Linked DNA regions of Arabidopsis thaliana. The protein of the gene in region 1 interacts with the protein of each later gene in a pairwise test. Each region holds a gene or a part of one and is shown in the gene's direction. Other genes may lie near its edges.

Region 1 (4,255 bases):
ACTTCTTTAATTTCGCAAGCATGTTGTACTCGGATGGGCATAGTCTCATCTTTTTGTAAGGATGATATGAGATTTGCATTAAGAAACAATATACACTAGCTAATAATATTCTGCAATACAATTTTCTACGACATATTTTTATGTAATTTTATTGTTTCTAAACTCAAATCTCATAGCATCTTACAAAACGATGTCATGCATGTTAAGAAAAAAGAAAAAAAAGAACTTGAGCATTAATGTGGTTGCGATATGTCAACTATTTTAAGTTTTTAACTAATTGTACACTTCAAAGAATAAATAGGAGATATTTTTTTCATTCGAGTTTAATCAAATTATGCTGTGTAGCAAACTAGCAATCTTAGATGTAAAGATTCAATTGGGGTAAACTCAGTGTTTTGTTCTTTAATAGAAATATATCTAGAATGAAGATTTTTTGGTAGGAAATAATTGAATAATTGTTAGAGGAACAAACTGAATTAGATATAGATTTTGTAGAATAAATTATAAAACGTTGTAAAGTTAGTTTTAATTTGTTTTGTCTAGTTATTACGTTTTCAAAACACTAAACCGTAAAAGCTGAATGAATCGCAATCACGTTTTTCAAAAATGAAAACATGAATGAGATATATACTCTCTCTATTTCTTATTATTTTATTATTTAGAAAAAAATTGTTTTAAGAAAATTAATTTTTTAAATTTTGTATGCAATATTAATTGGTTATTAATGATGAATATCAACCTTCAAAATAAATAATTTAATATTATTGGTTTAGAATTAATAAAAAATATAAATTACAAAAAATAATATATTAATAATCAGTTTTTGATATATATTTTTTTAGTATGTATGTTTTCTCTAAAAAAACATAAATATTAAAAAATAGAGAAAATACTATTTATCCCGAAAACTAATTCAAAACTAGAGATGACTTATTATTTTAAAATGAGGGAAAATATCAAGATGACGAGGACCTAGACTGCGATAAGTCAAATAACATTAAATGTTTGAGCAAATTGCAACATCATTTTAGCAAATTTCAACGTTACAGCAGTGGCATGGTTCAAGCATCTAAGTATATAGTAATACATTTTGCTGACATAATTCACGAAATTTATAAAACTCAACCTTTTTTTTTTGAATTCTATACTTAATAAAGATATAACTATTACATCATTTATGAAATTCATAAAGAGACGTTTATTTGAGAATGTGATCAAGCATGTAGAAAACTCTCTTTCTCTTTTTTTTTTTCTTTTTCTGAACTGAATATACAATTTATTCAACCCCAAAAACCAACGTTTTTACATCAAGTGCATATTTTTTTTTTAAAAAGATAATAATACAAAGATTTAGCTTCTTGTACAGTACTTCAGTATTTATCTAACATTTTTATCTCATAACTCGTATCGATGATGGCCTGTTTCGAATTTGTTTAGCGATGTGTTTGTCAGTTTAATAAGTACAAGAAACTCATCTAAGAATCTTTATGTATACATGACATGACATACTATATATGATGCATTATGGCCTATGAGCTAGTAATTCACATATATACATATACAAGTCGGAAGCTTACCATTATTATCTTCTGGTCGACGCATTCAACATTTTTATCATTCACGCGACAACTTATGTGGTCAATTCTTTTCTATATAAATAAATACACGATATGGATGCAATTAACTTAGATACATTTACACTTCCATGTTTATATTTACTTTTCTTGTAAAACGATTAAAGCTGGTATATGATATCAAAAATAAAACAAAAAAAATGAAAGTGATATATAGATAAGACTTTAAAGATACTTACAAATGAGTTATAAAGTCTTTTGGTTCTATATATTCAACTCACTTGCAACTATGAGAGAGTAAACCGACACAATAACAACAACAACAACAACAAAAAAAAAAAAAAAAAAGGCCAACGTTCAGTGATCTAGGCTATGAAGATTACAAAACCACATGTGGCCATGTTCGCTAGCCCCGGAATGGGCCACATCATCCCGGTGATCGAGCTCGGAAAACGCTTAGCTGGTTCCCACGGCTTCGATGTCACCATTTTCGTCCTTGAAACCGACGCAGCCTCAGCTCAATCTCAATTCCTTAACTCACCAGGCTGCGACGCGGCCCTTGTTGATATCGTTGGCCTCCCAACGCCCGATATCTCCGGTTTAGTCGACCCATCAGCCTTTTTTGGGATCAAGCTCTTGGTCATGATGCGTGAGACCATTCCTACCATCCGGTCAAAGATAGAGGAGATGCAACACAAACCAACGGCTCTGATCGTAGACTTGTTTGGTTTGGACGCGATACCGCTCGGTGGTGAGTTCAACATGTTGACTTATATCTTCATCGCTTCAAACGCACGTTTTCTCGCGGTGGCTTTGTTTTTCCCAACGTTGGACAAAGACATGGAAGAAGAGCACATAATCAAGAAGCAACCTATGGTTATGCCTGGATGTGAACCGGTTCGGTTTGAAGATACACTTGAAACATTCCTTGACCCAAACAGCCAACTCTACCGGGAATTTGTTCCTTTCGGTTCGGTTTTCCCAACGTGTGATGGTATTATTGTGAATACATGGGATGATATGGAGCCCAAAACTTTGAAATCTCTTCAAGACCCAAAGCTCTTGGGTCGAATTGCTGGTGTACCGGTTTATCCAATTGGTCCTTTGTCTAGACCGGTTGATCCATCTAAAACTAATCATCCGGTTTTGGATTGGTTAAACAAACAGCCGGACGAGTCGGTACTTTACATTTCATTTGGAAGCGGTGGCTCTCTCTCGGCTAAACAACTAACCGAATTGGCTTGGGGACTTGAGATGAGTCAGCAACGGTTCGTTTGGGTGGTTCGACCCCCGGTGGACGGTTCAGCTTGCAGTGCATATTTATCCGCTAACAGTGGTAAAATACGAGACGGTACACCTGATTATCTCCCGGAAGGTTTTGTTAGCCGGACTCATGAGAGAGGCTTTATGGTCTCTTCTTGGGCTCCCCAAGCGGAGATCTTGGCCCACCAAGCCGTAGGTGGGTTTCTAACTCACTGCGGTTGGAATTCGATTCTCGAGAGCGTCGTTGGTGGCGTTCCGATGATCGCGTGGCCACTTTTTGCGGAGCAGATGATGAACGCGACACTCCTCAACGAAGAGCTTGGCGTTGCCGTCCGCTCTAAGAAACTACCGTCGGAGGGAGTGATTACGAGGGCGGAGATCGAGGCGTTGGTGAGAAAGATCATGGTGGAGGAGGAAGGTGCTGAGATGAGAAAGAAGATAAAGAAGCTGAAAGAGACCGCTGCCGAATCGCTGAGTTGCGACGGTGGAGTGGCGCATGAATCGTTGTCAAGAATCGCCGACGAGAGCGAGCATCTTTTGGAGCGTGTCAGGTGCATGGCACGTGGTGCCTAGGAACGCTTACCGTTTATAGTATGTTACTTATAAACTGCGTGTCGTTTTACCCTTTTGGGTATCTTGTATTATATAGTTTCCGAGTCTTGGTTGCCACATGGTATCACGTGGTTTTGTTTTGGTCAATGCTAGTCCCTATCAGTAATGTATTTTACAATGTAAAATAAATAATTAGTGTTTAATTTGTATAATAAGTAGCTCCTTTTTTAATTGCTAAGTCTTCGGTTATTTAACGGTAACAAATATGGTTGTATATGATTAATATTTAATACTTGACGTCAATATGAAACGGTGAATTAAAATCATGATTCATGAGTATAGGAATCTGATGATATACAAAATCATTATGATGATGATAATCGCATTAGTTATATTCTCACCAAAAAAATTGCATTAGTTATATATGAAGATTTTTTTAATTAGCTAATCATTACTAATCTCCTTAGGAAATTCAAATTGTATATATGATTCTCTCTTATTGACTTGGTTTGGAACACGCAGCTAAAGTGATCTTCGACTATAACTTTTTAATTCAATCATTTTTTTTTTCAATTCTTTTTCCACTATTTGTTATTCCAGTTCTTCTCATTTTTTCAGAGTATTTCTATATATGTGTAAACCGTCCTTTTTTTGGGGGGGTCAAACTCTAACTGTTGTAAACCGTCGTTTTTCTGTTGAAACATTACAAAAAAAAAAAAAAAAAAAACTCGTTACAATCTTCGTAAAAATTATAAGAATTTAAAACGTAACAAAGGAAATAAGGAACAGGACCAGCCTTAAATTGTAAAACATATTTTCACAGCTTTTGTATATTGTAAAACACTAGTCTCCTTTTTACTGAACAA
Region 2 (7,577 bases), on another chromosome or scaffold:
TATGGTTACGTAAACGCTTTTTTTTATTGGCTTAAACCAAACATAACGTGTAGTAAATAGAAACTCTCCATTCACTTCTTCTTTTTTTGTTTGTTTAAATGTTACTAAGATTTATACCAAATCAAAAATATTTTCTTATGTTTTCGGACAAAACTCAAGCCCCATTTACTTTTTTTTTTTTTTTTGTATGTTTTAATGTTACTATAAGATTTATTCCAAATCAAAAATCTTTTCTTATGTTTTCGGACAAATCTCAAGCCGCCCAAAATTGAATTGTTAGCCAACTACCCTTGAGCACTTAAAACCTCCAATCGTTTTCCTTTTTTCTTGTTTTATTTTATGGAATACAGATCCTTTATACTATAAAATAGATTTTTGAGAAGTGTCATAGTTGGAAAAGTAGATAACATATTTAAGTCGAATGGGGGGGGGGATGAATATGAAAACCACGGTAATAGTATATTTTTGTTTTTTACCGTATTTATCATTCCAGTATATAAAAATTAAAATGTAAAGTTTAATTTTTAAAAAAAATTACGTATAAATTATTTCAACAAATAATCATCTTCTATGGTGGAAAACAATTTCCAAGACACATAAAGAGTTACCTTAATTAATGATACATTAAAAAAAAATTACCTGATGGTTTCTGAACCTCACAATCGTGTGGACACTATAGAGTTGATCACTGGAAAAATCATAAATATTCGTGTTGGTCAACTATTGGCTCATAGCTCACACCATTTAATAAGTTCAAAGAAGATACAATGATTACCTATTACATAAATCATACATGCATACGTGTGGTTGTCCATATTTTGACATTAATCATATACTATAATAAACTCATATATTTTGTGCATATATGACATACATAGCTATCTCTATTGTAAGTTGTAAGTCGTAACCACTATATAAACTAATTAATTACATATGTATATAGTGATAGATATGTTGAATGATCGAAGAGATAACGGTGTCTCTTCACGAAAATAGAGTTTCATCAAAAGCAAGATAACGGAGTACTAATTATCTAACTCGTTAATTAATTGAGCTCTATCTTAGTAAGATTCACCGGACACTGCAATATACAATTAACCACGTGCTTTTCAAGTGAATATTCAGTTAAATTCTCATTTGTCTTTTCTTTAGAATTGACACCTTAAGCTATTTCTAGTCATTCTCAAAATATAAAAAGTTAATGGTCCTTAATTGCCGTGACAATTGCTATTCTTCTTTTATTCCCAAAAGAGATACAAGTATAAAAGATCGAAACGCTATACTATTTATTAAAAAAAATAAAAATACAGTTTTAATTATATGACCAAAAAGACTTTTGATATATTTGATCGAAAAATGAAAATTGATTTAGAACTTGATTGGTTCTCCTACTACCATATGCAAATGTTGAGTTTGCGGTTGCTAGCGTTTAAAATGAATCAAAGAAATTGCTTTAAACCACTTTGGATAGTTTTTTTATTGTTCTAATGCAAAATTTTAAAGAAAACATTCCCGTAAGTATTTTTATTTATATATTAGTGAATTAAGGACAAAAAATGTATCTCACAGTTTTCTCAGAATTTTCTTTTTTGACATAGTAATGAATAAATTGATGTAGATTCTATGCTGTTTATAGAAACAAAAAGTAACCGTTTTAAATGCCTCAATTGACGTTAAGTCTGTCTTGGTGCAATTTAATTATGTTTCGTCATCATCTTTTCAAGTTCACGCACTAAGCTTAGTGAAAAAGATACGCCTTTTTTCTTGTTCTGTTTTGTTTTGCATGTCACAGTAAGTAACTCTCCTCCTCAATTATCAAAAATGCAAACTTTAATTTTCTTCTAGAGAAGAGCCACTCTCTCCACTTCTTTCTTTGTCCAACTTTTTAGACAGAGAAAGTGGCGTCAGAGATAGATAGAGAGATACATATTCAAGTTGGTTGAAGGAGGAGAATTAGCGGTTCATATCAGTACGGAGAAAATTGTCAGTCATATGCTTTTTTTCTTTAAATTCTGCATTTGAGTGGGTGTGTGCTTTTAACCATTTTGGTGATTTATCAAAAAAAAAAAAAAAATTCTGTGTGTTTTGAGCTCAAGCTCTCTACAAATTTTGCTGTCTCAAGTTTTTGCCTTTTGAAGTCCAATAAAGTTGAAATCTTTGTTCTTTTTGATTGGTCTTCGTGAATTCCGGTGAAAGTTTCAAACTTTTGATTTAAATTCCGGGGAGGAATTAGGGTTTATGAAAGTAAAAGAAGAAACTTTGAAGAATTTGGGAGATGGAGTGGTTTTAAGACCTGTTGATCATTGTTCTAGCATTTGGAGTATGAAGATGAACATGAAGAACTTTCTTAAGAAACTTCATATCTCGCCCAATCAATCAGATGAAGCTGAAGGATCAATTTCAACAACTAAGAGCAATCATCATAAGTCTATCGATGTATCATCATCATCATCACCGAGGTCTCATCACAGCAATAGCCCTGAAATCAAACCTTTTTCTGGTTTATCTAATTGGTTAAGTTCTGTTGGTCATAGAAAAATCCCTAGTCCTCCTAATTCTTTCAATGCCAAGAACAGAGCCGCCACGGTTGATGACACTGTTGTTGTTAATGGGTCAGAACATGTGGATTTAGGTTCCAAAGATCCAGCTGTTGAAGAAGAGAATCAGATACAGTTGGCTTTAGAGTTAAGTGCTAGAGAAGATCCTGAGGCTACTCAGATTGAGGCTATTAAGCAATTCAGTTTAGGCTCTTGTGCTCCTGAGAACTCTCCAGCTGAACTCATCGCTTATCGCTACTGGGTAAGCTTTTGATTCAATTGTTTTCTCTGCATAACAGAAACTCTTTAGTTACTCCCAAGAACTCATTTCATTTTGGTATTGTTGCATTCACAGAATTACAATTGTCTTGGCTATGATGACAAGATCTTGGATGGTTTTTATGACTTGTATGGAGTGTTGAATGCATCCTCAGCAGAAAGAATACCTCCTTTGCTCGATCTTCAAGGGACACCTGTTTCAGACGGTGTGACATGGGAAGCTGTTCTTGTGAACAGAAGTGGGGATTCTAATCTGTTGAGACTTGAACAGATGGCTCTTGATATTGCTGCTAAATCAAGATCAGTTTCTTCCTCTGGTTTTGTGAATAGTGAATTGGTAAGGAAACTGGCTATTTTAGTGGGAGATTACATGGGTGGACCAGTCGTGCACCCAGAGAGCATGTTGAGAGCTTGGAGGAGTCTTAGCTATAGTTTGAAAGCAACTCTTGGAAGCATGGTTTTGCCACTTGGTTCTCTGACTATTGGTTTGGCTCGTCACCGAGCCTTGTTATTCAAAGTATGCACTTTTTCTTCTGAATCTCAGCACTTTTAAGTTTATTTCATTTCTTATGGTTCTTTCTTTATATGAAACTTTGTAGGTATTGTGTGATAGTGTTGGTGTTCCTTGTCGAATAGTCAAAGGTCAGCAATATACCGGTTCTGAAGATGTGGCAATGAACTTTATTAAGGCTGATGATGGCAGGTAATCATCACATTAATGTGTAGATTCAATATTTGTCTATCATTCATGTATATTGTTATCTAATCTGCACCTCCTGAAGCTAATATTGAGGCTTAAAGAAAGAAACTTTGTTATATGCTATTCAATTGTGAATTTCAGGGAGTACATTGTTGATCTTATGGGAGATCCCGGCACGCTTATTCCAGCTGATGCAGCTGGACTACAAATAGACTATGATGAATCTGCCTATTCCGCTAGTCCTGGAGACAATGATTCAATTCATGTAGCTTCTTCCAGCAATGGTATTGAAAGCTCATATGAAGAGAATACAGAGTTTCGAACAGGGGAACATCGTTCTAGTACCAAGAGTTCTGGGGAGAGAAACCAATCCGGAGGTGGAGGCGATCTCATTGTTCATCCAAATATTTCTAGAGAAGATGTGAAAAATCAGAAGAAAGTTGAAAAGGCTCCATTTCAAAATCTGTCTAGCAGGCCTATTCATTCTTTCACCCATATGAGATCACCTTCTTGGACTGAAGGGGTTAGCTCCCCAGCTGCACAAAGGATGAAAGTCAAAGATGTTTCACAATATATGATTGATGCTGCTAAAGAGAATCCACGGTTAGCTCAGAAGCTTCATGATGTATTACTTGAAAGCGGAGTTGTAGCTCCTCCCAATTTATTTTCCGAAGTCTATCCCCAGCAATTGGAGGCAACTGTTGAAAGCAAAAACTCGACTGAAGCCAAGAAAGAGAGAGGAAAAGATTTAGAGACAACTCAGGAAGGAAGACACCAAAACGGTTTTGGTCCAGTGAGGTTTTTGCCTCCATTACCAAGAGTGCAATCTAAAACAAATGCACATGATCAACGTGATAATGGCAAAGTTGTAAGTCAGTCTGATTCTTCACATTCTGAAGCATCTTCGACAGAATATGCCAGAACCGTCCCTGCTGCTGTAGCTGCAGCTGCTGTTGTTGCATCTTCCATGGTTGCTGCTGCTGCTGCCAAGTCTGCAAACTCAGACTCCTCCCCCATAGAACTTCCTGCTGCAGCTGCTGCCACGGCCACTGCTGCTGCAGTTGTGGCAACAGCTGCAGCCGTGTCCAGGCAACTTGAATTAGGCTCGAATAGCGACGGGGATGATGGTTCTGGTGGGCATGAGCCTCAAGGTAGTGGGGACTCTAATCATGGGCCAAATTCAGGAGGGGAAAGAATATCTGACAAATCTATTGGCAATGAAAGTTCTAAGTCAGACTGTGATGATGTATCTGACTGTGAGATTTTGTGGGAAGAAATTACTGTGGGAGAACGTATTGGACTTGGTACCTGACTTATCATCATCTGTTATCTGCTTTGGTGTAACTACATCTTCAAATAATTAACTACTTTACTTCTTTTGATACAGGATCTTATGGAGAAGTGTATCGGGGAGATTGGCACGGGACTGTGAGTATTATATTTGCTTTTCCAATTTATACTGTGAATTTGAACTCGATGAAAAAAGAGTTTAGAAATTCCTTAGTTTGAGTTCCATATCGTCGAAACTCTTGAACTTTAGGAAGTGGCTGTCAAGAAGTTCCTTGATCAAGATTTAACAGGAGAAGCATTGGAGGAATTCAGAAGTGAGGTACGAGCCTTTCTTCTAATCTTTTCTTTTACCTGATTTTCCATGTTGATTAGTTCTATATCAAACCCTTCTTATATATTCTTGTGATACAAGGTCCGAATCATGAAAAAGCTAAGACATCCCAACATTGTTCTCTTCATGGGAGCTGTGACTCGCCCACCGAATCTTTCAATTGTTACAGAGTTTCTTCCTAGGTAATACTATGATCTTTGCAAGATTCAGTTACTTTGATATGATTCTCATGGCTACAACGATTTCCATCTCCTTATTCATGATGCGCATGCCTCTGTTTTTATCTATTTTGTGACCTCTAAATGCCAAAATCTTCTTTGCATCAATGAGTGTTGTTCAAGTATTTGCTTTAAGTTCTAAAATCTGGATGGTTTGAACAGGTTCAATCCGGTTGTGCTTCGTTTTTGGATCTTTACATTATAATATTTTTTTCCAAACTTGTGCAGAGGTAGCTTGTATAGGTTAATCCACCGGCCAAATAACCAATTAGACGAGAGGAGGCGCCTGAGAATGGCCCTTGATGCTGTATTAGTCTTTTCTTCTCTTACTATATCACCTGTTTGTAACTTCTTGATTCTTTCAGTAGAGTGTTGAGGTAACATATTACTTGTATTCAGGCTCGTGGAATGAACTATTTGCACAGCTGTAATCCGATGATTGTCCATCGCGATCTTAAGTCCCCAAACCTTCTAGTTGACAAAAACTGGGTCGTGAAGGTCAGATTCTCTCCATAAAATTTATTGTTTCTTACCAAGTGGATAATGTTATATCGTATGTAACAGCTATAAGTTTACATAACAAATACTGGATTTTCATATATATCAGGTGTGTGATTTTGGATTGTCTAGGATGAAACACAGTACATACCTCTCTTCAAAGTCAACAGCAGGGACGGTAAGAAGCAAGTTATAGTCTCCCCTGTCTTAATCATCTCTTTTTACAGTTATTGTAATTGCCAGTTCGTTAATCTAATTATGTGTTGGTCTTATAAAGGCTGAATGGATGGCTCCAGAAGTGCTAAGAAACGAACCTGCTGATGAGAAGTATGCTCTTAGATCTTTTGCTACTAGATATTCATTTTGTTCCCTTTTGTCAGAAGCAGGCCTAATGTCAGGAAAAAACAATACGTGAAACAGGTGCGATGTTTACAGCTACGGTGTGATCTTATGGGAACTCTTTACGTTACAACAACCGTGGGGAAAGATGAACCCGATGCAAGTAGTTGGGGCAGTTGGGTTTCAGCATCGACGTCTTGACATTCCCGACTTTGTAGATCCAGCAATTGCAGATCTCATCAGTAAATGCTGGCAGACGTGAGTATAGATTATTTTTCAATGTTTCAGCCACAATATGAAGTAGCAGTGCTTAAACAACATCATTTCACTTGACCATGTCTCAGTTAACACATGTAATGGCTTTGTGTGTGTTTATCAGGGATTCAAAGTTAAGGCCAAGTTTTGCAGAGATAATGGCGTCTCTAAAGCGGCTACAGAAACCTGTAACAGGTTCCAACATCCCAAGACCAGTCCCCAGTTCCTCTTCATTACCAACTGAACATGAACAAAAGGATTGATAACAGAAGAAGACGACCAAAGTGGCAAACACATTTTTGACGAATTCAATCTGTTTGAAGGAAAAAAAAGCTACAAATGTTCCTTCTCTGCTACTTTTTGCCTCAGCTTCAGTGTTTGACACAGCTTGTGAATTGTGAAAAAGAAAGATTCATGGAAGATGACGATTGAAGAAGGTGAAGGATTGTGCTCGTGTGTTTTGTTGTCTTTGCTTGCAAGCGATGTTCATGTTCATGCGTAATTTCCTCTATTTTGTTTTCCAATATTGAAACTGTACAAAGAGAGAAAGAAAAAACAATTGACAAACTCGTCGAAACGTTGACCGAAAACATATATTAAAAAAAATCATTGAGCTCTGTCTTTATTCATCACACGAACAAGATAAGGCTGATCTTTATTATTGGGATATATGAATCAAAATAATATAATATTTTAAAAAACTTTGCTTTTACGAAAAATCTTTGACAATGGCGACTCTCTTCACTGCGACGGTTCCTTCTCACCACCGTTTCGTCTCTCCATCCCAACATCCGAAACAGAGTCTTCTATCGCAGTCGCTAAGCGTCACATTCACGGAGAATCCACAACCAACGGCGGTGGTCACATTGCAGGAGCAGCAATTGACGGATTGGATTACTTCTCCGGTGACGCGACGGTTCGGAATCGGCGCCGGGTTTACCTGGGCTGGGTTTTTAGCTTTCGGTGTTGTCTCCGAGCAGATGAAGAAGTCACGACTCGATGTGTTTCAGGAAGAGGATAACACAAGGTTACTCTTACTCATCAAGACTTCGAATTATTCTCTTGTTAAGAACTAAAGATGGAAAATTTAAGTGAATGTTAGCAATTAGGGATTTGATAATACAATCAAA

What was found.
Region 2: the proteins of UGT72E1 (region 1) and AT1G73660 interact in a two-hybrid assay, tested with the Arabidopsis thaliana proteins (one study listed by BioGRID).

Annotation. Positions count from the first base shown.
Region 1 is NC_003074.8:18,854,503-18,858,757, reverse strand, and holds UGT72E1 (UDP-glucosyl transferase 72E1), read left to right. Parts: upstream 1-1,717; 5' UTR 1,718-1,946; coding exon 1,947-3,410; 3' UTR 3,411-3,715; downstream 3,716-4,255. UniProt on the Arabidopsis thaliana protein: UDP-glycosyltransferase that glucosylates coniferyl aldehyde to form coniferyl aldehyde 4-O-glucoside. Glucosylates sinapyl aldehyde to form sinapyl aldehyde 4-O-glucoside. Is not active in presence of coniferyl alcohol or sinapyl alcohol.
Region 2 is NC_003070.9:27,691,380-27,698,956, reverse strand, and holds AT1G73660 (protein tyrosine kinase family protein), read left to right. Parts: upstream 1-1,584; 5' UTR 1,585-2,238; coding exon 2,239-2,799; intron 2,800-2,892; coding exon 2,893-3,333; intron 3,334-3,415; coding exon 3,416-3,519; intron 3,520-3,657; coding exon 3,658-4,820; intron 4,821-4,903; coding exon 4,904-4,944; intron 4,945-5,056; coding exon 5,057-5,125; intron 5,126-5,218; coding exon 5,219-5,319; intron 5,320-5,583; coding exon 5,584-5,662; intron 5,663-5,754; coding exon 5,755-5,853; intron 5,854-5,962; coding exon 5,963-6,031; intron 6,032-6,130; coding exon 6,131-6,180; intron 6,181-6,273; coding exon 6,274-6,450; intron 6,451-6,571; coding exon 6,572-6,710; 3' UTR 6,711-7,064; downstream 7,065-7,577. Other genes in the region: AT1G73655 (FKBP-like peptidyl-prolyl cis-trans isomerase family protein), read left to right, coding at 7,176-7,474. UniProt on the Arabidopsis thaliana protein: Acts as a negative regulator of salt tolerance. Mediates sugar response during early seedling development.